7 linked regions of the Tribolium castaneum genome follow. Each later gene encodes a partner of the first gene's protein in a complex. Links are inferred from orthologs where the notes say so. Each region holds a gene or a part of one and is shown in the gene's direction. Other genes may lie near its edges.

Region 1 (3,196 bases):
GTGAACCACGCGAGAGTGACCTTGAGCGTGAGCGGCGTCTACGCCCTCTAGATCTTGAGCGGGAACGTCGCGAGCTCCTTTTATCTTTAGTTAGCATTCCGATAACTGGCTCAATCGAGGCATTGATCATGTTTTGAGCCTCTTTAAAGCGAGACATTGCTTCTTCAATTTCCTTCTGAGCGGCTTCGTTACTTTTGGCTTGGGGCTTCATGATTGGTTGAGTGGCGTGAATGATTTCCAGCGGCTTGCCTTTGAACTCTTCACCGTTCATTTTCATGGCGTTCACGACGCTTGGCTGTTCCGTGAATTCGATCAAAATGTGCGTGGTGTTGTCGTTGGGGCACTCACACACTCTCAAATACTTCACTTCACCGGCTTGTGAAAAATACTGGATTATCTCATCTGTGGGTATGGCGGGGTCAATATTGACCACTTGGACCGTTCGACGAGTCTCCTCGACTTTGATCGAGTCGTATTTGGCCGGCAAAGGGGGATAGGGGGCGCAGCCATTGTCAGTCAAATGGGGGTCATTTGTGACAACAACGCGTTCCTCGCCTGTGCCTTGGAACGAATTGGAGACATGTGGGGGCAACTTTGGCTCGTTTACGTTAAACCCGGGGACAATGGTCCCGTTACGGGTCATCTCCAGAGCGTAGTACTCGTCGGGGATGTCCCCGTTGATCACAGGGATGACAATTAGGGCCCGGTCGATGAAAACAGTGTTTGTCATGTGTTGGGCTACACCTACCGTGCTGGAATCCACGAATTTAACGTAACAAATCCGGGACTGGACAGGACAGGAGACGTCTCGAATCGTGGGGTACAGGCGAATGTCTTCGATTTTACCCAAGTAGCCGAACAGCGTCTGCATCTGGTCCTTGGTGGCCTGGGGGGCTATGTTGGTCACCTGGACCACCTTAGTGTTACCCACGACCATTTTCACGCACTATTTTAACATTTTCCAACGAGTTTAAAAAACGTAAAACGACGCACATTGACAAGTCAAATGACAGCAAGTGTCGCCAACTATTGTTCAATGATGAAAAACGCGGTGAAAAAGCAATTTATGGCCAATCGTCCTAATTAAAACTTTTTATGACTGTCCCAAAAGGATAATTTCAAATTATTTAAAATCTTTGGCGTTAAATAGCCTGTAAAACTTGCACTTTGGTTGTAATTTGGTGCCTTAATTGTGTGCCGGTTGGCAGGCGTAGTTGGTTTCTGTCAAGGGTGAGATGGGTGTTCGAGGGCTATTTTCGCTCGTGAATTGTTCAACTTCGCCTGATTTCGCTGACTTTTCATCTTGCAAGAGACATAAAAAGCCGAAACGTATTGTTTGATACATCTACAAATCGGTGTACTTGTGGAAGCTTCGAGAAAAGATAGTGTTTGGTTTGGTGACACTTTGACAGTGTCATCTGGCGGTTTCTGGTGCAGTTGCACGTTATTCAGCACACGTGAATTTCGAGGTTGAGGTCGTTTTGTGCTAATTTCGGCCGTATTTTCGCCAATATGGAATCGTGGGGTAAAAATTTAGTCAATTCTTTCACTACTTGAGCGAAAATTTGACATGGGGCTGTTTCAGACGACGATAACTTCGAACCTCCATCTGTTACACCTGTGGTTGCGTCCAACAAATGGGAAGGCGAGGACGAAGACGACAACGTCAAGGTAAAATGAGTGAATTCCTGCCAAAAATTTACCATTTTCCTGCAGGAAAGCTGGGAGGATGAGGAGGAGGAGAAGGTGGAAGCGGCGCCTGCCGAGGAGGCCAAACCCAAGCCCAAGAAGCAGTCAATCGCTGACAAAATCGCAGAGAAAGAAGTGGGTATCGCAATAGTTGTGACAAATCTAATTTCTCCTTATTCAGAGAAAGAGGAAGGAAGAAATGGAGCGGAGGCTGAGGGAGCAACAGGAGGAGGAAATCTCCCCGGAGGAGAAGCTCAGGATGCAGAAGGAATCGGACTTGAAAATAGCGCTAGAAACGACGTTTGGGGGCGACACCAATAGCACAAACATTTCAGGTTTAGACGGACTCACGCTGCCAACTACTAAAGAAGAGTTTCAGGACTTTACAGACGCTCTCTCTAAGAAGCTCCAACCTCTAGCTAAAAGCACAGAGTATCCGGTGTTCACCGAAAACTTACTACGAAATCTGTGTGCCACTTGTACGTCTCTCGTTTTAATTTAAAACAGCGTTAATGATGAATGTTCTTGCAGTGTCCTCATTAGATATTAAGAAAATTAAAAATACGTTAGATAATTTATACCTAGAGAAACAAAAAATCGAGAAAGGCGAGAAATCGAAGAAAAACAAAGGCAAAGGCAAGGCTAAATTACGACTGGATGATGGAAATGTAAGTTGTGGTTTTACAAGTGTTTGGGTTAATTTTTTTTGCAGCCTTTGTCAGCGTATGTTAACGACTATGACGATTACGACGACTTTATGTAGCAGATTGCAGCGGTTTAGATAGGGTTTTAATTTTTAAATAAATATCTTCGATAAATATAAATATTGTTAAATTATACGGTATTTTTAAAAAGGTGTAGTGTAATGATCATGCAATATGGTTAATAATTTTTACTTTTTTTTCACCGTTTTGTGTTTTTCTATACTAATGTAACGAGTCATTATTAATTAATGAGTTGCTGGTTTTTGTTGCTACTGATATAGAAGTTGTATTTTAAGGCGATTATTGTATGGATTTGCATACAAGTTGTATTCAATGGATTTGATGCAATTATTGTTAATATCAATATAATTTTTCAAAAAAATGATTGCGTTTTATTTAAAAAAGAATCAAGTGTCTTAGACACAGAGTTGCCACACGCACGCAATTTAAATCCCGTCTACGCCGTTCTGACGTGTAATTATTACACATTTATGCTGAAATTTATTATAGAACAAGTGGACCCCGCTTCTATAAACTTTTTGAGACCATAATCTATTTTAATGTTGAATATTTAAGTACCGTTGTTGGTATTCCTGTCCGAGTTTCATCACAATATTTGTTGTAAAAATGGCAAAATTGGTGCTTACCTCCACGATGACACTATGTAAACACTGATTCATTAGACTTTTCCCGATTTTAAACACTTTTTAAAACTAAACACAAACACCATGTTAACTTTTTTGTCATAAAAAGCAAGCGTCTTTAGACTCAGGGCTGCCACCATGCCACACACACTTGATTAG
Region 2 (4,140 bases), on another chromosome or scaffold:
TCGCCGTTGTTTCAATTAAAGAAAAACAAAAATAAAAACTGTTATTTATAACTTGATCTTGTGTGACGTTTTTACAATTAATAAAATCAAAATTAGAATAATATTTTTGGTCACTAATACAGAGTGTAACCGTGACACTCTTGTCTAGTTCTTGTTGACAGAGTTCTTGCCGTGCTGTATTTGGAGCTGCGAATAATTCCTGATAATTTTTTTGTGAAACATTTGTCCATAAAACTCTTATTTTGAGAGTGTTCTAGACTTATTCAATAAGTATTAAGTCAGAAGATTGTTCTGGTCACAGTAAAACCAAAATTTTGTTACTTTGGTACAAATTTCTTAACCACTTAAAGTGTGCGATTGGCAATATCTTGCATAAAAGTCAAACCATCACTGTAATTTTTAATGTAAGGCAAGACAAGAGATTAAAAAATAAGATTCTTGTACCGAATTGCGGTTGAAAATAGGTTGACTTTATACCGAAAACCGAACAAATTTTAATAAAATACTGTGCGTAGTTTACGTGTCACTTAAATTTTTTAAATGGAAAATATTATATTATACCGACTACTTTAATTTTTTATTGTGCAAAAATTAATTAAATACTGATTATTTATTATTTTTTGTTGATCAAAATTACATTTATTACTGATCGCTTTGTTACTACCCAATTTAAGTGTATGTATTATATAGGTATTGCTGGTTACAACTTTATTGGCGAAAAGTTATGTTAATAAATATCATATTTAATTATTTTTCACTATCCTTAGATAAACTTCGGGTAAACAAATTATTCGTGGTATACTTAATTAGTACCAAATTACACAGTTACAATTGTTTCAACAATGTATTTTTGAAAATTTATTCCCGTAATAAATTTATTCTTCTTGGACTATTGTAAAAGCGGCCCTAACTAATGTAAAAATAATAATTTACACGAAATCAAGAAAAAAGAACACTGAATTAATCATCAATTAACTGCACCAAATTTTTGAATGAATCAAAACTCTGAAGTGATTGGTTTTGCACATTATTTTAATGGCCGACCTCAAATGGACCAATTACACCAATGAATTAAATTTTTGAATGAATCAAAAAATCGAAAATGATTGGTTTTCTGACATAATTATGATGGCCGTCCTGAAACGGCCAATGACAAGGCTTACAACTTCTACAATTTTTACAACACTTCTTACGTTAATTCATTAATCATTTATTAACCCAATTAGCAACATACAAATGAGTTTTAAGGACACAGCAGTCAAGTCCATACTTGGAAAGGGCCCAAAAGTGGTTTTTCTCCATTAAATTCATTTCTGGCGCCTTACAAAACTGTGACATTTTATTCCCGCGCGTCCTTCTTTACCGGTCGACCCTCACGCGTGTCAAAATGGCGAAAAAGAAAGTGGACGACAAAAACAGCCTTAACGGGAATAATACGAAGAACGAGAGCGATTTATCGTCCAACGATGATGAACCAAACTTCAGCGATCCCGAGGGATACGTCGACAACATCACCGATGAAGGTATTTCCCCAAAAACGCTCATTCAAAATGCGGGCATAACCATGCTGTCACTTCATTTTCAACCCTCATTTTTCGTAAAACTGTCCACTCAAACAATTAATTTTTGTTGGATTTGGCAAACCGTAGCCACGTTTTAGCATTTTCGCATCAAATATCTCGCCTGGATTGCAACATATGCGGTCGCGAAAGTGAGGTTAGGTTTGTCGTTTCAGAGCTCCTGGCCGATATTTTGAAGCAGAAGCCGAAGGAGACTGACGGTGTTGAGAGCGTGATTGTGGTCGACGGTGTCCCGCAAGTGGGCCCCGACCGTATCGAGAAATTGAAATCCGTCATTAATAAGATTTTCGTCAAGTTCGGATCCATAGTCAATGAGTACTATCCAGTGACCGAAAACGGTCACACCAAAGGCTACATTTTCCTGGAATACTCCTCTCCAGTCAACGCAGCTGAAGCCGTGAAGCTCACCAATAATTTCAAGCTTGATAAGCAGCACACTTTCCAAGTCAATCTCTTCACTGACTTTACCAAATATGAGGCGATTCCGGAGGAGTGGGACCCCCCGAAGCCGCAGCCCTACGAGGGCCAGGGGGACGTCCACCACTATTTGCTCGAGCCTGATGCTTACGACCAATTTGCCGTGGTTTTGGGACAGGGACAGTCGGTTCAAATTTGGCAAAATACGCAGCCTGATCCTTCCTTACTTGAGGAGAGACATGTAATTTTTTTAATCGTTTTGGGTTGGTTTTTTATGATTATGATTTTTTTTTGGGATAGGCTTGGACACATGCTTATATCAAGTGGTCTCCGTTAGGTACGTATTTAGCCACTTTCCATAAGCAAGGTATCGCGTTATGGGTGGGTCAGAAGTTTAGCCAATACAAAAGGTATGCCCATGCCAATGCACAATTTATTGATTTTTCGCCGTGCGAGAAGTATTTGGTGACGTACTCGCCTCAGGGAGATCCGCAGCATCCGCAACAGAAAGGGATCATTATTTGGGATATAAGGTAATTTTTATCACATTTATTATCTTAATTTGTCGTTAAACATTTGGTATTTTGAATAAACTTTCTTTGTATTTTTTGTATGACATGACCAAATCATAAAAAAAATAATGTAAGTTACATACTCTGTCCGGCAAAGTATAAAACCAAACGTTTTTTTCTAATATTTCTACTTTACGAAAAAATAGTTAGCACATTATCAAGTCTATTAACAATGTGGTCATTTTTGAATTTTTTTTTACTTTTCGAGTTTTTGATTATTTTGGTTAAAGGTTATGCTTTAAAAAATTACTTGATTCAATGTGGTATTGTTTCTGATTGGGTGTTTTTTTTTTGCGAAATTGGCCAGAAAATAAAATTTCAGCGTACTTGCTTATACTAGTATTATTTTTTCGTAAGGTAAATAGTTTACGGAAAAACGCCCTGTATTTTGTTTAGTGATTATTTTGAAATACTTGACATTCTTCTACGTGATTTACCGCACTTGTGTGTTATTTTTACGTTTAACGAGTCTAGTGCGATAACTTTCTGTTAGTGTAATTTATGTTACGGTTGTGTATGAAGGAGCGTTTCATAAATTTTAAACTTCGAATATTTGCTGCTCGTTGAATATTTACATAAAGATCTACGTAAAATATTGCTCATCTTCCTGTTATAGTTTACGGTGTTTTTTAGTGTATTCTTTATAATTGAAACGTCAGAAAATCATGCAAATTGGAAATAATTTAATTATGGTTGATACTTTGACTCTATAAAAACTTATATTAAATGAACTAAATTTTTAATAATGCATTTTAGAAAAAGGAAAAAAATTATAATTTGTCCTCTGAAATTAATTAAATTTACAAAACTAGTTTGGAAGAGAAAGTAGGAGTGAATTAATTTTAGTTCAGATTGTTACCATATGTAAAGATCAGTGTAAATATTAAATAATAAATAAATGCCTTCAAAAGTTGTTAAAATGCTACCATAAAATACTGTGCGATTGTATAAAAATATAAAACGAAAAAAATTCGGGAAAGCATTTTAAAAATGATTAGACACATTCTGTATCATAATTTCCGACTGTCTATGTGTTGTAAAGAATCGCAGAATAAAATGTATCCATTTCTATGGCATATATTAGAAAAAAGCCAACACTTCAATAATTCAGTAAAAAAATTAGATTCACTGATACCAGAGCTGATACCATAAAACTGTCAATACCTTGATACTACGATATTTTCAATACCTCGATTCTTCCGGTACCTCAATACCAACGATACTTAGGTTAGTATTGATACCTTCAGGGTTTTTTTTTTCCAATAAATACTGAAACTTTTAGCATGCAATTGAACGAAACGCAATTCTAAGAGTGATTTTCCAAACCAGTGTATCTTTGTGGGGATGCCCCCAATCTTAATTTTTTTTTATATATTTGGATTACTGAAATGATTTCTACAATGCTTTGAACTGAGAATTCGCCAATTTTGAGACACCTGTAGAGGAAAAGTGTTAATGAATTGTCAGTTTAGTTTTTTTTTTTGCATAAAACCTATTTTTAACTTTGAATTTATTTGTTTCTCTAGATGATAATATGAACTCACACAATTGTCGGTATTATTTATTTATTT
Region 3 (3,270 bases), on another chromosome or scaffold:
TTTGGTTTTCTTGTTAGAGTCTGTCAAAAATAACCATTCTTGAAAAATTCAAATAAAACACCAAGTTAAAAATTCCGCTGTCTTGATTGGATAACACAGAACAATGAACTTCTTTTTTATAAAACAGCTTCAGAAGACCTTCCTCTATAACATATTAAATATTTGGAAAGATATTATTTTTGGTTTTCTTGTGAGAGTCTGCCAAAAATAACCATTCTTGAAAAATTCAAATAAAACACCAAATTAAAAATTCCGCTGTCTTGATTGGATAACATCGAGCAATGAACTTTTTTATTATAAAACAGCTTCAGAAGACCTTCTTCTATAACATATTAAAAATTTGGAAAGATATTATTTTCGGTTTTCTTGTGAGAGTCTGCCAAAAATAACCATTCTTGAAAAATTCAAATAAAACATAAAGTTAAAAATCCCACTGTCTTGATTGGATAACACAGAGCAGTGAGCTTCAATTTTATAAAACAGCTTCAGAAGACCTTCTTTTATAACATATTAAAAATTTGAAAAGATATTGTTTTTGGTTTTCTTGTTAGAGTCTGCCAAAAATAACCATTCTTGAAAAATTCAAATAAAACACAAAGTTAAAATTTCCGCTGTCTTGATTGGATAACATACAGCAAATGAACTTCTTTATTATAAAACAGCTTCAGAAGATATTTTTCTATAACATATTAAAAATTTGGAAAGATATTATGTTTGGTTTTCTTGTTAGAGTCTGTCAAAAATAATCATTCTTGAAAAATTAAAATAAAACACAAAGTTAAAAATTCCGCTGTCTTGATTGGATAACATAGAGCAATGAACTTCTTTTTTATAAAACAGCTTCAGAAGACCTTATTCTATAACATAATCATGCAAATAACTCATTTCAGGAGAAGCCGAAAATGTTCGCCAAAGACGCGGAAATCGACCTAAACCTCGTAATAAAAAAACTCTCCGAAATAATGGCAGCCCGTGGCAAAAAACGCACCGACCGTCGCGAACAAATCGAACTCCTCCACGAACTACAAAACGTCTCCGACCAACACCAACTCGGCCCCGCCATCTACGTCAAAATCAAATTCGCCATAATTTCTGCAATTTTCGACTACAACCCGAAAGTCTCCGACGCAATGAAACCCGAATACTGGATGAAACTACTCGAGCGCATGTCCGAAATGCTCGACCTTCTCCTCAGCAACCCCCAACTCTTCGTCTCGGAATCCGTGACCGAAGAAACGGAAAACCTGGAAGAACCCCCTTACAAAATCCGCGGCTGTGTCCTAACTTCCGTCGAGCGCCTCGACGACGAATTCACAAAGCTACTAAAAGAGTGCGACCCGCACAGCAACGAATACGTCGAGCGCTTGAAAGACGAGGCCAAAGTCTCGGAAATCATCGACAAGACGATGAAATACCTCGAGCGGACGAACGCCCCGTCCGAACTTTGCCGCATTTATTTGCGCAAAATCGAGCATCTGTATTACAAGTTCGACCCGCGGGTTTTACAGCAAAAAGCCGGGGAAATCCCCAGGGATTTGTACACTTCGGTGCAAGAAATGGAAAAGTTGTGCAAATTCATTTACGCGAAAGATGGCACCGATCGGTTGCGCACACGTGCGATTCTCTCCCATATCTACCACCACGCCCTGCACGATAACTGGTTCCAAGCGCGTGACTTGGTCCTCATGTCCCACCTCCAGGAGACCATCCACCATTCGGACCCCAGCACCCAGATTCTCTACAACCGTACCATGGCCCATCTGGGTTTGTGTGCCTTCCGGCACGCGAATATCAAAGACGCGCATAACTGTCTCGTGGATTTGATGATGACCGGGAAGCCCAAGGAGTTGCTAGCCCAGGGGTTGCTCCCCCAGAGACAGCATGAGCGGAGCAAAGAGCAGGAGAAAATCGAAAAGCAGCGCCAGATGCCCTTCCATATGCACATCAACTTGGAGCTTTTGGAGTGCGTTTATTTGGTCTCGGCGATGCTGATTGAGATTCCCTACATGGCGGCGCACGAGTTCGACGCCCGCCGGCGCATGATCTCGAAGACTTTTTACCAGCAGCTGCGGAGCTCGGAGAGGCAGAGCCTGGTGGGCCCCCCGGAGAGCATGCGCGAGCACGTGGTGGCGGCGGCCAAGGCCATGCGCAACGGGAACTGGTCGGCGTGCAACGGCTTCATTATCAACGAGAAGATGAACGCGAAAGTTTGGGATTTGTTTTATCAGGCGGACGCGGTCAGGGCGATGCTGACGCGGTTGATTAAGGAGGAGTCCTTGCGGACGTACCTCTTCACTTATTCGCACGTTTACGACTCGATTTCCATGGCAACGCTCGCGCAAATGTTCGAGTTGGATAAGCCGGTGGTTCACTCGATTATTTCCAAAATGATTATCAATGAGGAGCTGATGGCGTCGCTCGATGACCCGACTCAGACGGTTGTCATGCATCGAAGTGAGCCGTCGCGTTTGCAATCACTGGCGTTGCAGTTGGCGGATAAGATTAATAATTTCGTTGATTCGAATGAGAGGATTTTGGAGACGAAGCAAGGGAATTTCTTTTCAAGGGGGATGAATCAAGTGAGTTGGTGTGTTGGGGTTTGGTGAGTTTTGAGTTTGGTTTTTTAGGGAAATTTCAGAGGAGATAGGCAGAATTATAGGGGGACCAATCAGGATTGGAGTCGGCAAAGGAGAGATCACAGGAAAGAGTATTAAGAGTGACAGTCAGGTTGGGTCTTTTTTATTTGAAACCAATAAAAAACATACGAGTATTTTTGTGCCCTAACTTACCTTTTCTATGGAGATCTCCTCAATTTAATTTCAAGAATTTTACTAAAATTTATACAAAATTGTCTTCATCAATTTGCAAATCCGGGATTAGGTGAGACGGTTGAAGCGTTTTTGAACTAAAATTGTTTCTTTGTGAATTATTTGTTAAATTTGCAGCAAGTTTCAAACGTATTTTTCAAGAAATTTTAGTAAAATTAGCTGCAAAATAAATCAAAATAGATGTTTTTTTTTTACTTTAAAACTTTTTTTTACGATATTTATATATTTGGAACAAGCTTCTTTATACGCTTTCTAAACCCGACCGAAAAATCACTAAGTGAAGTCTAAAATGGCGTTATTTTTGCGTTTTTAGCCCAAAATAAAAAAATTATTTTTGGAAGTTTTTGAAGCTCAAAGCGTCTGAAAAAGCTACAAATTAAATTCCATTTCTTGTTCTTTCACTTGGTATTTTCCTTTTTGGGTTAAAGACTTTCATTATGCA
Region 4 (3,231 bases), on another chromosome or scaffold:
ACGATGTGGTTTTCCCGCACAAGTTCCCCTTTTCGGGGATGGTGCCCAAGGTCTACCAACAAGTCAAGGAGTTTATTTACGCGTGTTTGAAATTCTCCGAGGATTTGAATTTAAGGTTTGGTTGTTGAATAATTCCAATCGAAGTGGGCTGTGACTGAATTGTAGTCAAGTGGAAGTCGACGAAATGATCCGCAAGTCGATGAATTTGCTCCTGACGCGGACGTTTAGCGGTTGTTTGTCGTCAACGTTTCGTAGCCCGCACATCAATCTTCAGGAAATTATCCAAATAATCATCGATACGGGCTATTTGGAGGAAGCCACGGTCTACTTGGACCAGTTTATTTCAAATATTACAGGGTAGGGCACAAAATTAATCCGCCAATAAAAACAAAACATTTAGGGAGGAGTCTCGAGGGGTGTCCACGGGAGTGGTCCAAGGCCAACCAGCCATGTTCCGCGTGGCTCGTGAAGACGCCGTGCGCCAAATTTGCGAAAAATTGCGCCAAAAATTGAACGAGTTTTACGAATTGGAGAGTTATGATTGGCTGTTGGGTGAGCCGTCAGGACACGCCTCTAGTTACATCTCCGATTTGATTGCTTTCCTCCAGACGACGTTTCAGAGTTTCACCAATTTACCGGTTTGTTGATTGGTTTTGTTGATTTTTTATCGAGTGATTTGTAGCCGGAGGTGGCGCAAGTTGCGTGTAAGTCGGCGTGTGAACACATTGCCAATTCGATGTTTCAACTGTTGATGAATGACGAGATCAAGCAAATTTCCATGGGGGCCTTAAACCAAATCAATTTAGATTTACTACAGTGTGAACGTAATTAATCGAAAAATGATAACCGGAAATTTAAACAAGTTTTACAGAATTTGCGGCCTCTGAGCCCGTCAAAGGCCTACAAGAGGACGTCCTCTTGTCGTATTTTACCAAACTACGGGAGACTTTAGACCTGTTCACGTCATGGGACTGGCCCACTTATTTCCACGACTATGGGCAAGAAACCAGCAAATATAAGCAAGTCAATCCAGATGATGCGATAGTATTGCTCGAAAAGTAACAAATCGGGTTATTAAACCACAAGTTAATTGATTCTTGTAGATTGAAAGAAGGCGATAAGAAAACTATGTTCACAGTATTGAAAAAGAACGAAAGAGACAAGAAGAAGTTACTGGAAACGGTCCTAAAACAACTGAGACAGCTGACCCAAATAACGCCCAACAAATAACCGACTTGTTGAATTAAATAATAAATTTTATTAATTATTCGGTGTTTTAATTTTTGTGGCCAACTTGGCCACCAAATTTAAAAAAGTAACAACTTGGCGTTTGCGCATGCGCATTGCCAACATAACCATCAAATTTGCGGTGTGGTTTTTCCCCTTAAAACAGTTAAAAATTGCAAAAAACCGTGAACTAACTGTAGAAAAATGCAAGTGCCCCCTGTCTTTATCGACGTGAGTCCCGAGGACCAGGTAGGCGCCCATTTGTGGCATTTTGTGTCCATATGACACTTTGAGGTTATGTTTTAGGCGCAAGAGCTCCGCATTTACTTAAAAAGTTTAGGCGCTGAAATTTCGGAGGAAAAATCAGTCAAGGGCATCGAAGACGACCTACACAAAATAATCGGCGTATGCGAGGCCTGTTTCAAGGAGGGCCAGGAGCCCGAAGTTGAGATGGTGCTCAACGACATTGTCTCAATCATGGTGCTTGTAAGTGTCTCGAATCATTTGCGCGTGGTATTGGACGTGTTTTAGATCCCGGCCGACCGGTCCGAGAACATCATCCTGGCCTTTTGCCAGAAGCTGCTCAAGGCTCAGGGCCCCAAACTGGGGCTGGTGTGCCTGCGCGCCTTGTGGCTGCTGTTCCAGTCGCTTGACGAGACGTCCCCCATGCGCTACCACGTCTACTACCACTTGATTTTAATTGCGGAGAAAACGGACCAGGTCAAGTCGGTGTTCCAGGATATCGAGCATTTGAAGCAACAGTTCGCCCCGTGTCCACCGACAAGCGAGCAGTTGCAGATTCTGTACCGGTTGTTGCACCAGGTGCTGCTAAAGAGCAACCACAGTGAGCAGGCTGCCAAGGTCATGATCGAACTTTTGGGGACCTACACCGATAAGAACGCCTCGCATGCCCGCGAGGACGCGATCAAGTGCATCGTCTCGGCCCTGGGGGACCCCAACACCTTCCTCCTCGACCCCTTACTGGCCCTAAAGCCGGTCAAATTTCTCGAAGGGGAGCTAATCCACGACTTGCTTAATATCTTTGTCAGCGAAAATTTGGCAACGTATTTGAAATTCTACCAAGAACACAAGGAGTTTGTCACGTCGCAGGGGTTGAACCACGAGAAGAACATGCAAAAGATGCGGTTGTTGTCCTTCATGCAACTCGCTGAGACCAACCCGGAGATCAGTTTTGACGTGATTGAGAGAGAGTTGCAGATCAAGGCTGAGGAGGTCGAGGCGTTTATTATCGAAGTCTTGAAGACTAAACTGGTGAGGGCCCGCATGGACCAAGCCGCTCGGAAAGTCTACGTCTCAAGCACCATGCATAGGACTTTTGGGCGCGCCCAGTGGCAACAATTGAGGGATTTGCTCCACTCGTGGAAAAGCAACCTCAGCATGGTCCAGGAAGGGATGAAGAACGTCACAGCGGCACAGCTCGAAATGTTGAACCAACAATAATTGTTTTGTAGCGATTAATTTAAGAATAAAAATTTTGGAACTAGTTGGGGATTTTTATTTTAATACCACGTCAAGTAACTAACTAAATTTGCTGCTTAAACTACGAAAATTACATTATTGCGCCCCATAATTTAATGTGGGGGTTTCACCCGCCACGTGTCGCACGTTCCTTGCCCCCAATCGGGGTCAAGAGCCGCCGGTGCCGTTTCATGTTGGCAGCACTGTGTGGTGTTGTGGCCGCTGATTCCGATTTTGTGGGAATTCCGTGCCTTCTTCTGATGCAATCACAGTTTAATTTCCGCTAGATAACACCGAAGAGTGCGTTTTGGTGTTGGTGTGTTAAATAATTGCAAATTTGGTGGTTGGAGTTAGGTTATGTCGAAACGTGTGCAGCCCCCGTGGTCGGCGCCGGAGGCGTCTGGCGGTCCGGTCCTGAAAGTGTTCAATAGTCTGACGCGTCAGAAGGAGGTGTTTAGGCCGATTTCGGGCAAAAAAGTGACTTGGTACAGTTGCGGGCCGACTGTTTACGACGCCTCGCACATG
Region 5 (2,950 bases), on another chromosome or scaffold:
ATATTTTATGTGCCTTTCTATTAAACACTGCCAAATGATTTTGTAATGTAACAAATGAATAAATCATAAAAACGATGAGTTTTTGGGTTTTATTAGGTATCAAATAAGAAGACAATTTCTTTATGTACAACTTTTACTTATCACAAATCTAGTTATTTATAAATCATACATTCAAACATACTGAACGCTGTGTGATAGTGACCAGACAAAAAATTATAGAATGACACTACCAGACTCACAACAAATTTAAAAAAGAACAATCTGATAACAAAACAATCATTTTCGAAATTTATAGTAACTTTACTTCGGGAATCCGTTGCTCAGTTCAATTTTGCTGTCAGTGAACTGCATATGATTATCGATGATTTGGAAAAGCTCTGCAGGTTGTGGTATCCTGCCCGTCTCCAGTTTGGACCAAACAGGAACGTCATTCAGTGAGATTTCAAAAGCCCCCGATTGAATCAACTGTCCTTCGATAATATTACACACAAAGAACAGCATCATGCAAGCATAAAGCTTGTTTTCTGTGCACCAAATCCACCATGAAGGCTGTGGTTGGTTAATGTATTCAAATATGTTAATAGCCCCCAAAATACACACGATTATCACCATTTTAACGATGCCCTGAAAACGCATAATCATCAACTTTCACTCATTATATCATACTTACAATAAGTCTGGCCAAATACATGTTCAAGCCTGGGGGGTCGTAATTTTGGCCATCAACGGCTATAAAAGGGTATTTGTCCCCAACGATTTTTACGTACTGCTCGAACGTTTTCCGGTAACCACACGAATAACTAAATTAAATAATTAGATTATGATATTGGGGCTAGGGGAACATACCAATACAAAAATTTTAAGGTTGGGGCCCCAACATTTTGACTTAGCTTCGACGGGAGGACGTCTTCAGCTGCTACGTTACCGTTTGATTCGAGAAAACACAGCCCCGCAAACACCACTAAATACCAAAAACATGATATTTGTCTTAAACCAGCCATTTATTTTGCTTTCTAATGCTCTCGTCAGCTGATAAATTTCCAATGACAGGTGGGACTGGTGGAAACGTAGGGGAATTTAGACACCGACTAGATCAGCCTAAAACACTAATATAATAATTATTTCACGTCCAAAAAACACGAGATTGTGTTAGCTGCTACAAAATTTGGTAACAAACAACGTAATCGTTAAATAAGGCCATTATCGGCTGGCAATTTTTACGAAAATTGTGTTTTTGTAGCAATTGTGGAGTTTTTGTTTGCGCTACATTGGCAGGTATTTTTGGCAGTTTAAAATGGCGTCTCGTGGGGCTGCTTCGAGGCGTGTGCCTGAAAATGACTCGACGATTGCTTACGTGCAAGCCGACGGCTTGGTAAATATCCCTTCAGTTTATTTAAACCCAAAAGTCACACTTTGGCTACCTCAGTTAGTAATTAATACCTAACATACGGAACCTAACCTCTTTCAGGCCGTCATGAAGATCGTAAAACACTGCCATGAGGAATCGACCACTAACATGGACATAGCCCAGGGGGCCCTTCTCGGCCTTGTCGTTGAAAACCGGCTGGAAATCACGAATTGTTTCCCATTCCCGAAACAAACCGACGAGACAATGGACGAGGACGAGTACCAGCTAGCGATGATGCGGCGCCTGCGACGCGTCAACGTCGACCACTTCCATGTGGGGTGGTACCAAAGCGCCGACGTCGGGAACTTCCTCAGCCTCCCTCTTCTCGAATCGCAATTCCACTACCAAACCTCAATCGAGGAATCCGTCGTTGTGATTTACGACACTCAAAAATCCTCGCGCGGGTTCCTCACACTTAAAGCCTACCGTTTGACGCCTCAAGCCATTGAGATGTACAAGGAGGGCGAATTCACGCCCGAGGCCCTCTTGAAGCTCAAAGTCGGATACGAGAACCTCTTCATCGAGGTCCCCTTCGTTATTAAAAACTCCGCCTTGACCAACATCATGATGTCCGAATTGCAAGAACTTGTCCCGGAAGAAGAAGGCTCGAAATTTTTAGATTTGGGAACCGCCTCCGTCCTCGAGGGGCAATTGCGCTGCCTCATGGACCGAGTTGACGAACTCAACCAAGAAGCGATCAAGTTTAATAGATACCAACAGTTGGTCAGCCGGCAACAGCAAGACAAACACAGATATTTGCAAAAGAGGGCGCAGGAAAATGCGGCTAGGGCCGCGAAAGACGAGCCCCCATTGCCCGAAGAGGACATTAATAAGCTGTTTAGGCCACATCCGGTGCCCCCGAGGCTGAACCCGATGATTATCGCGGGACAGATTAATACGTATAGTCAGGCCATTTCCCAGTTGTGCTCGCAGAGTTTGGCTAAGTTGTATATTACGCAAGCGTTGCAGAACGCCAAGGAGGCGAATTCTAATCCTTGAACTGTTTTGTTACGTTGTTTTACAATAAAATAATATACAATGAGTTTGGGTTTTATTTAAACCAGGCGTAATAAAGCTTAATTGGCGCAGTCAGTAGGTTTTGTGGTGGCGTCTCTTCTGTGAAATTTCTACGTTTGAACGTTTAATCATCCCCTTAAAAAATGGTACTAAACCAACAGTGGAGAAAGTCATATTCGCAACCTTTTCATCGTTTATGTTGATTTTGTTGTTTTTTGATTGAAATAAAGGACACAGCTTTTAAAAAATAATGTATTCAATTGCCCTAAACATCAATTTAGTCATTACAGTCTTACGAACCTAAAGAAATGAATTTTATTTATTTACATTTCTATTGCACAAACTGGCCAAAATGTACACACTTTTTTGTGCAACTTTCTCAAACTCATACAAACCAATAACAAACAACACACGAAAAACAACAACAAAACAAGACTAGATAATCAATCACAATAAATCGTTTCGTATTACGCTATTAGCAGTTCAATCAATAAGAAAAATCGTGTCATGAGTATAAAAATGTTG
Region 6 (4,053 bases), on another chromosome or scaffold:
GATGGCAGGAGAGGCCGTCTGGAATCGGTCTTCAACGAAGCTGAGTACATAGAGTCGTCTCCGCCGCCACCACCGTCCAGCAACGGCCTCACAAGGTCCATCTCCCAGCCTGACTTCATGCACGAATTGGAAACAAACGGCGACACTAAACTCCAACAAGAACCAGCGAGTATTTTCGTGCGCCCAGGAATTGGAAGCATAGCGTTCCGGTAACAAATAATCAATATGCGAAAGCACAAAAACACGTTTTTTATTTAGAAAGAGCATAACCAACACATTCCAAGGCTTCTACTCCAGCGAAGGCCCCAACGAGGAGAGTTCAATCGGGTCAGGGGAAAGCTACGGCCCCAGAACCAACACTCTATCAATCGAAGACGAGTTATCAGACCCCGAGTCCAGCGACGACGATAACCCGAACGCTCCCCTGGAACGCTTCTTGACCGCCTGGGGGCTAGGAGAGTACCTTCCCCGCTTCGAGGAGCAGAAAATCGACCTGGAAACGCTGATGATACTGACAGAAAACGATCTCCAAAGCCTGAACTTGCCCCTAGGGCCGTACAGGAAACTTGTGACCGCTGTCAGCGAACGCAAAGCCGCGCTGGAGAATCCGGGCGAAGTCACAGACAGCATGTTGTAAATATGGAGTCAAAATGTGTTATTTATTCATTGTCGTGGACATGATAACGGTATTGCTTGTATTTTATGGGCACTTTTTGTACAGATGTGTGCCAGGCATAATATTTACAAATTCGTATTTAAATTTATTATAAATAAATGTGTGTTATGCAAATGCGAGCTTATTAAACCCACTCCTTATCAGTGTTCTCTTTGCTGAGAGAAATCTGATGTCATCGTCAATACGCAATAATAGGGGACGTAAAATATACTACGAAAAAGTGAAGTTACGTGTAGAAGAATTTGAATTCAATACAAATTTTTGCGCTGTTGCGTTCTTTGTGATGGCAATGAGTTTTTATGCAAAATAAAGTTAGTGAGACACCAAAATAGAAAAAAATAATGCCTTATTGCCATTAGAGCTTATTTTCTTGCTGTTTTTCCAAGTTAAATATTAGTTATTAACAATGCAATAAATCAATTAGGTTGTAATGGAAAAAATTTAATTTAAAATTAATTGGAAACCCAAGAGTGAAGGATTTTTAACAGGATTCCATTATTATTTAGCATCGCCAACTTACATCAAATGTCGCTGCGGATCAGGGTGACAATTTTTTTCTGAAAAAAAGTGTAGAAAAGGTAAGTGAAACAACACGTAAACAAAAATTAGAGAATTAAATTGAAAAAAAAGTGGATGAAAATGTTTTCTCAAGCGCAGCGACATTTGATGTAAGTTGGCCATGTTATTTTGATTTCAAAAGCGCCGAATTTCAAAAACTGTCGATTGTCAGAATCTGCGCGCGCACATTTCTTTTTGCCAAGTGTTGTGCACAACTCGCGGTTTCTGCTTCAACATATTGAATTGAACACTTCCTAACTTCTGAAAGCAAGTCAAATGACTATGACTGATGGTCAATCAGCGGGTGAGGTCCCCAAATTCGTGGCCCCCGTAATCCAGGACAACCCGACTGGATGGGGGCCCTGCGAGCTGCCCGACCAGTTCAAAGATATGCCGTACCAGCCCTTCAGCAAAGGCGACCGTCTCGGCAAAATCAGCGACTGGACGGGGGCCGCCTTCCAAGACAAGAAATATGCCAGTTAGTCTGACATTGACACATGTCAAATTTGAGGTTAAGTGACTTATTTTTCGCAATTTTAGACAAGTATGCGTCCCAGTTCGGTTCTGGCAGTCAATACGCGTATTATCATGACGAAGACGAGAGCACTTTTCATTTGGTGGACACAACACGCGTCCAGAAGCCCCCCTATCAACGGGGGCGCTTCCGCGCGAACCAGCGCAACTTGCGCGGGCGTGGCGGCCGTGCTGGGGTGCAAGGCAGCGGCATGCAGTCCCTCGGGAAGGGGGTTAAAGCCAGGGACACGTATAAGAGGAGCCAGGTTAAGAAATGGGGACAAGGACGGGTAAGATCTCGCTTGAGTTTTACCGCAATATAGTTGGCGGTTTTAGCCCCAGATTAAGATCAGGGACGCTTCGGTTACGGTCAAACCGGATTGGGTCACCATTGAGGAAATGGATTTCCCTCGGTTGGGAAAATTGTCGCTCCCTAACGTCAAAGACGGTTGGTTTAATTAAGCAATGCGAATTTTTCTATTTTGGTTTTTAGGCGAGGATATTACTTGTTGTGGCGAGTTGGAGTACTATGACAAGTCGTACGATCGTGTCAACGTGAAGAATGAGAAGCCGCTGCAAAGCGTCAATCGTATCTTCCATACAGTGGGTTATTTTTAATATCATTGATGGCAAAAAATTAAAATTAATTATCCTCAGGTTACAACAACTGATGATCCGATTATCCGTAAGTTGAGTAAAACGGAGGGCAATGTGTACGCCACTGATGCGATCCTTGCGACCATCATGTGCTGCACTCGCTCGAATTATTCCTGGGACATCGTGATTGAAAAAATTGGTACTGTGCCCTTACAAGTGTAACAAATCTCAAACAAAATTTTTCAGGCGATAAACTCTTCTTTGATAAGCGTGACAATACGGAGTTTGATCTTTTAACCGTCAACGAAACGTCCGTGGAGCCCCCACAAGACGACGGCAACTCCTTAAACTCCCCTCGAAACCTGGCCTTGGAAGCCACTTTCATTAACCACAATTTCAGTCAACAGGTATTAAGAACAGGTACCGGGGAGCCCCGCTTCAAGTTCGACAACCCAAACCCTTTTATCTCCGAGGAGGAGGAAGGGGAGGTCGCCAGTGTGGCCTACAGATACCGCAAATATGACCTAGGGAGCGGAATAGTAATTTTTTCGTTTTGTTTCTGTCCACGTTTAATTTGTGTAGTTTTTGGTTGTCCGTTGCGAACACGATGCCGTGGTCCAGTCCCCGAATGGCGAGCTCCAATTCCTGTCAATCAAGGCCTTGAACGAATGGGATTCCAAATTGGCCAATGGGGTGGAGTGGCGCCAGAAACTGGACACCCAGAGAGGCGCCGTTTTGGCCAATGAGCTGCGTAATAACGCCTGCAAGCTGGCCAAATGGACCGTTCAGGCGTTGCTGGCTGGCAGCGACCAAATTAAATTCGGTTATGTTTCCCGGGCCCATGTCAGGGATAACAGCAAGCATGTTATTCTGGGTACACAGCAGTATAAGCCGCACGAGTTTGCCACTCAGATTAATCTGAATATGGATAATGCGTGGGGGATTCTGCGGTGTATTATTGACATTGTTATGAAACAGAAGGATGGGAAGTATTTGATTATGAAAGATCCGAATAAGCCGATGATCCGGTTGTACGATATTCCGGATAATACGTTCGAATCGGACGGGGAGTCGGAGTCGGAGGATGAGGTGCCCCCTGATTCCGTGACTTTCCAGACCCTTTATCCATACACCAACAGTGCGAAACGCTAGATTTTGTATTTTTATCATGTATTAGCGAAAGGCCGAAATAAAATGATCAATAAATAATAATTTGCAGTTAATTCTCGTGCATAGTATTAACCAACAAGTGAAAAAAAAATAAAACGGACTCTTGTCGTGTAGCAGCAGCAAGGTGCATTTGCTCACGCATTTTTTAATTTTTTTCAACAAAGAAAGTAAAGCTGTCGTATTCACAACAAAAGAAAAATAAAGGTAAGTGCATTATTCTATTTTGTTGCGGATTTACTTTATTAGGTTTAGAATTTACTTATTCAAGATTATCAGCACATTTTTATGACGTAAGATGTCATATTATCGTATGATTCATTCTTTTTTTGTTAATACGTTCCAACATTCAATAACTAAATCAAATTAACAGTTTTATTTTTACTCGAACCCACACAATTTGAGATGTTGAAAAGTTATAATCGTTTGAGTGCAACATTTTACAACAGATTAACTACTTTATAAAATTTTCAAACTAATTTGATGACATTTGAGTTTATGATGTCGTAAAGTGTATTTTTTCAATTGCTCATCTCCAAGTG
Region 7 (3,271 bases), on another chromosome or scaffold:
TTGTTTTTTATTACACCCTGTACATATTTCGAAAAAAAGTGTTTATCCCCATTTTGTTTCTTTAGTTTACAGTTGCTGAAATCAGTAGGACGCGTTCTTGCAAAAATTAACAAAGTCGCTACACGGGTAGGAGATTGAAAAAATAAAGTTTGAAAAGTCAAGGAGTTTTCAAAAAAGAAAAAAAGAAAAAAAATTCAATAAGATTACAAGGAATATTTGTCCCCACTTCATTTTTTTACAAGCCAAGGCCCTACTGGAGCGCTTTATTACTAGCAAAAATATTTATTATTTACACGGTAAAAGCGTTGCGAAAATTAAGTTCTAAAATTCAAAATAATTTTGAAAATAAAAAGAAAAAATCTGTTAGGTTTTAAAGAGTGTTTACCTCCACTTGATTGTTTTACAGTCGAACACTATCCAAGAGCTTTATTTCCTGCAATAATAAACAAAATTGCAGTACGGAAAGCCGGTTGAAAAAAATGAAGTTTAAAAAGTAAAACATTTGCAAAAAAACAAAAGAAAAACATTCAGTAAGCAGAATGTTTGTCATCAATTAATTTTTTTACAGTCGAAAGTCTCATGGCTAGGCTATATATTCCTTGCAGAATTGAACAAAATCAATAAATGGGAAGGGGGTTAAAAAATAATGTTTGAAAAATTAAAATATTTTCCAAAAAAAAAAGAAAAAAAAATAGGTAAGGCCCCAGGGAATATTTATCCACACTTAATTTTTTTTACAATCAAATTCCCATCATCAGGCTTTGCTTCCTACAAAAATTAAAACACGAAAAGGGAGTTGAAAAAATAAAGTTTAAAAAGTTGAGATAAAAAAAAGATTGTAAGGTCCCAAGGTCTTAAATTAATGGCTCTACTTAATTTTTTTACTGCCAAAAGCCCTTTATTTCATACAAAAATAAACAAAATCGCTACAATGAAATATTATTTTAAAAGATTAAGTTTGTAAAGATAATAATTAAAAAAAAAAATCAGTAAAGGCCCAAAGAGTTTTTAATCAATAATCACAGTTAATTTTATTACATATTTTTCCCAACTGCTAAAAATTGCCAAAATGGCAATAACGCCATTTATCAGTTAATTTTGACAATACGGTTATTTCACCTGAGCCGGCACTGACTTAACCCCGCCACTGCACAACCCACCATGACAGTTAATTTTGACACCTCTTCTGTCAAACAACCGTCAAAAAAAGCGTGTTTAATCATTAAAATCCTTAAAAAAACGCCCAGTTTTTTAACAAAATGGTAAGTAACGACTCACAATCAATCGAAAAAAACGCCCCACAACCGTAAAACATTACATTACCCCACAATTTCACCCACATATTGTTCGCTTAAATTTAACCTCAAAACCCCCACAGAAACCCCTTCTACTCCACGGCCACGAACGTGCCATCACCCAAATCAAGTACAACCGTGAGGGCGACCTCCTCTTCTCCTCCTCAAAGGACAACAAACCCAACGTTTGGTACTCCCTTAATGGCGAGAGGTTGGGAACCTTCAACGGCCACCAGGGGGCTGTCTGGTGCATCGACGTCGACTGGACCACCACTAGGTTAATAATAATAATAAATTTATTGCTGCAATAAAGCAAATGGGTGCGCGATAAGGTTGCCTCAGTAGCGAATATACAGGGTGCCTCACCTAATACTTTTGAGCCTGATATCTCAGTTATTTGTCAACGTATTTTTATGAAAATTAAAATGCAGATATTTAGGAAAGTAAAGATTAAAATCCAATTAATGCAAAAACTGAAGTCTTAAAATCGTAATTTTAAAATTAAAATTAATAAAACAGATATTAATCTCGAAAGTTTTAGGTGAGACACCCTGTACAAGTTTTGATTAATTTGCTTTTACTGATTTAATCAAATACTACTTAGACCAGAAATATCACCTATTTTGCTACTTTTTAAACTATTTAAACTTTATAGGTTCCTGTCAGGTGCCGGTGACAACACCCTTAAAGTATGGGACTGTGAAACGGGCAAAGAAATCGGGAACATCTCAACCAATTCATCAGTCCGAACGTGTCTGTTTAGCTACTCGGGCAACATGGCAGTGTACACCACCGACAAAGCCCTCAAACACAACTGCGAGATCTTCATTATTGACGTCCGTAACGTGGACGAAAGCATCTCGCACGCCGACCCCATTTTACGCATCCCGATTAAAGGTTCCCGTGTTTCGTCAATCCTATGGGATAACCTGGACGAAACTATAATAACCGGGCACGAAAACGGGGATTTGATCAAGTGGGACTTGAAGTCAGGCAAAGAGATCAGTTCAACACGTGAACACGAACATTTAATCAACGATATGCAGTGGAATAAAGACGGGACAATGTTTGTGACAGCGTCCAAAGACCACACAGCTAAACTGTTCGACGCTGCTGATTTGATGTTACTGAAGACTTACAAGACAGAACGGCCGGTTAATTCAGCTGCCATTAGCCCCATTTTTGAGCATGTGGTTGTGGGCGGAGGGCAAGATGCCATGGATGTGACAACCACGTCGGCAAGGGTTGGGAAATTTGACTCGAGGTTTTTCCATATGGTGTTTGAAGAAGAGTTTGGGAGGGTTAAAGGGCATTTTGGGCCGATTAATAGTGTGGCGTTTCATCCAGATGGCAAGAGTTATAGTTCAGGAGGTGAAGATGGTTATGTGAGAGTGCATAATTTCGATTCGTCATATTTTGAGTATAATTTCGATTATTAAATGGATAGCTGGTATTAATAAATTTTTTAATAAAACAGTTTGGTTGTTTTTGTTCCTAGATTACGTCCAAGTCTAAGTTTTCGGAGCAATGATTTTAAATAATGATTATACAGGTGCTCCATAACTTTTTTTCTATGCAAGCTATCAAGTTGAATTTTTTTGAAACGCTAGGTTTACTATTGTAAGACTTATTAGGCACGTTCTAAAAATATTTTAATCTGTATACAGAGTATTCCAAAATAAAATACCTAACTATGTTCTGTTTTTTTTTAACAAAAACCCGGATTTTATGGATTTATCTGTCATAGCTTTTTGACTTTTTGACAGAAAATACACAAATAAAGCCCTTGTTAATGTGTTTTTCGTTCGTTTGAAACTGAAATTTAATTACGAAAATAATTTTGGTAAATTTTATTCCGGCGCTTCCAACTTGTGAAATGTAACTAAAACATTCGAAAAAGCAAAAATAATGAAATTTTCAGCTCCGTATTACTGCATTTAGTTACGTTTTGTGTTTTTTGAGACTGAAAAATTACT

The links.
Region 2: eIF3j (region 1) and eIF3b share a complex: the UniProt entries of both Drosophila melanogaster proteins name them as parts of the eukaryotic translation initiation factor 3 (eIF-3) complex. The link is inferred for Tribolium castaneum from reciprocal best matches to the Drosophila melanogaster genes eIF3j and eIF3b.
Region 3: eIF3j (region 1) and eIF3c share a complex: the UniProt entries of both Drosophila melanogaster proteins name them as parts of the eukaryotic translation initiation factor 3 (eIF-3) complex. The link is inferred for Tribolium castaneum from reciprocal best matches to the Drosophila melanogaster genes eIF3j and eIF3c.
Region 4: eIF3j (region 1) and eIF3m share a complex: the UniProt entries of both Drosophila melanogaster proteins name them as parts of the eukaryotic translation initiation factor 3 (eIF-3) complex. The link is inferred for Tribolium castaneum from reciprocal best matches to the Drosophila melanogaster genes eIF3j and eIF3m.
Region 5: eIF3j (region 1) and eIF3h share a complex: the UniProt entries of both Drosophila melanogaster proteins name them as parts of the eukaryotic translation initiation factor 3 (eIF-3) complex. The link is inferred for Tribolium castaneum from reciprocal best matches to the Drosophila melanogaster genes eIF3j and eIF3h.
Region 6: eIF3j (region 1) and eIF3d1 share a complex: the UniProt entries of both Drosophila melanogaster proteins name them as parts of the eukaryotic translation initiation factor 3 (eIF-3) complex. The link is inferred for Tribolium castaneum from reciprocal best matches to the Drosophila melanogaster genes eIF3j and eIF3d1.
Region 7: eIF3j (region 1) and eIF3i share a complex: the UniProt entries of both Drosophila melanogaster proteins name them as parts of the eukaryotic translation initiation factor 3 (eIF-3) complex. The link is inferred for Tribolium castaneum from reciprocal best matches to the Drosophila melanogaster genes eIF3j and eIF3i.

The regions. Positions count from the first base shown.
Region 1 is NC_087396.1:21,287,100-21,290,295, reverse strand, and holds eIF3j (eukaryotic translation initiation factor 3 subunit J), read left to right. Parts: upstream 1-1,197; 5' UTR 1,198-1,512; coding exon 1,513-1,525; intron 1,526-1,585; coding exon 1,586-1,671; intron 1,672-1,716; coding exon 1,717-1,824; intron 1,825-1,870; coding exon 1,871-2,168; intron 2,169-2,220; coding exon 2,221-2,357; intron 2,358-2,401; coding exon 2,402-2,452; 3' UTR 2,453-2,696; downstream 2,697-3,196. Other genes in the region: Srp54 (probable splicing factor, arginine/serine-rich 7), read right to left, coding at 1-937. UniProt on the Drosophila melanogaster protein: Component of the eukaryotic translation initiation factor 3 (eIF-3) complex, which is involved in protein synthesis of a specialized repertoire of mRNAs and, together with other initiation factors, stimulates binding of mRNA and methionyl-tRNAi to the 40S ribosome.
Region 2 is NC_087399.1:10,622,590-10,626,729, forward strand, and holds the start of eIF3b (eukaryotic translation initiation factor 3 subunit B), read left to right. Parts: upstream 1-1,340; 5' UTR 1,341-1,387; coding exon 1,388-1,523; intron 1,524-1,735; coding exon 1,736-2,238; intron 2,239-2,297; coding exon 2,298-2,530; intron 2,531-4,140. UniProt on the Drosophila melanogaster protein: RNA-binding component of the eukaryotic translation initiation factor 3 (eIF-3) complex, which is involved in protein synthesis of a specialized repertoire of mRNAs and, together with other initiation factors, stimulates binding of mRNA and methionyl-tRNAi to the 40S ribosome.
Region 3 is NC_087401.1:16,331,015-16,334,284, reverse strand, and holds the end of eIF3c (eukaryotic translation initiation factor 3 subunit C), read left to right. Parts: intron 1-890; coding exon 891-2,579; intron 2,580-2,627; coding exon 2,628-2,714; 3' UTR 2,715-2,770; downstream 2,771-3,270. UniProt on the Drosophila melanogaster protein: Component of the eukaryotic translation initiation factor 3 (eIF-3) complex, which is involved in protein synthesis of a specialized repertoire of mRNAs and, together with other initiation factors, stimulates binding of mRNA and methionyl-tRNAi to the 40S ribosome.
Region 4 is NC_087400.1:753,795-757,025, reverse strand, and holds eIF3m (eukaryotic translation initiation factor 3 subunit M), read left to right. Parts: upstream 1-1,301; 5' UTR 1,302-1,431; coding exon 1,432-1,476; intron 1,477-1,533; coding exon 1,534-1,713; intron 1,714-1,758; coding exon 1,759-2,688; 3' UTR 2,689-2,731; downstream 2,732-3,231. Other genes in the region: Sec15 (exocyst complex component 6), read left to right, coding at 1-115, 166-357, 401-638, 683-824, 872-1,058, 1,104-1,230; CysRS (cysteine--tRNA ligase, cytoplasmic), read left to right, coding at 3,064-3,231. UniProt on the Drosophila melanogaster protein: Component of the eukaryotic translation initiation factor 3 (eIF-3) complex, which is involved in protein synthesis of a specialized repertoire of mRNAs and, together with other initiation factors, stimulates binding of mRNA and methionyl-tRNAi to the 40S ribosome.
Region 5 is NC_087398.1:6,460,957-6,463,906, reverse strand, and holds eIF3h (eukaryotic translation initiation factor 3 subunit H), read left to right. Parts: upstream 1-1,144; 5' UTR 1,145-1,294; coding exon 1,295-1,372; intron 1,373-1,468; coding exon 1,469-2,407; 3' UTR 2,408-2,450; downstream 2,451-2,950. Other genes in the region: SelT (thioredoxin reductase-like selenoprotein T homolog CG3887), read right to left, coding at 301-624, 671-800, 847-1,001. UniProt on the Drosophila melanogaster protein: Component of the eukaryotic translation initiation factor 3 (eIF-3) complex, which is involved in protein synthesis of a specialized repertoire of mRNAs and, together with other initiation factors, stimulates binding of mRNA and methionyl-tRNAi to the 40S ribosome.
Region 6 is NC_087399.1:4,807,827-4,811,879, forward strand, and holds eIF3d1 (eukaryotic initiation factor 3 p66 subunit), read left to right. Parts: upstream 1-1,443; 5' UTR 1,444-1,510; coding exon 1,511-1,712; intron 1,713-1,774; coding exon 1,775-2,037; intron 2,038-2,083; coding exon 2,084-2,195; intron 2,196-2,240; coding exon 2,241-2,350; intron 2,351-2,404; coding exon 2,405-2,543; intron 2,544-2,590; coding exon 2,591-2,883; intron 2,884-2,926; coding exon 2,927-3,496; 3' UTR 3,497-3,553; downstream 3,554-4,053. Other genes in the region: Sans (ankyrin repeat and SAM domain-containing protein 4B), read left to right, coding at 1-209, 259-637. UniProt on the Drosophila melanogaster protein: mRNA cap-binding component of the eukaryotic translation initiation factor 3 (eIF-3) complex, which is involved in protein synthesis of a specialized repertoire of mRNAs and, together with other initiation factors, stimulates binding of mRNA and methionyl-tRNAi to the 40S ribosome.
Region 7 is NC_087394.1:748,471-751,741, reverse strand, and holds eIF3i (eukaryotic translation initiation factor 3 subunit I), read left to right. Parts: upstream 1-1,134; 5' UTR 1,135-1,259; coding exon 1,260-1,262; intron 1,263-1,378; coding exon 1,379-1,572; intron 1,573-1,950; coding exon 1,951-2,734; 3' UTR 2,735-2,771; downstream 2,772-3,271. UniProt on the Drosophila melanogaster protein: Component of the eukaryotic translation initiation factor 3 (eIF-3) complex, which is involved in protein synthesis of a specialized repertoire of mRNAs and, together with other initiation factors, stimulates binding of mRNA and methionyl-tRNAi to the 40S ribosome.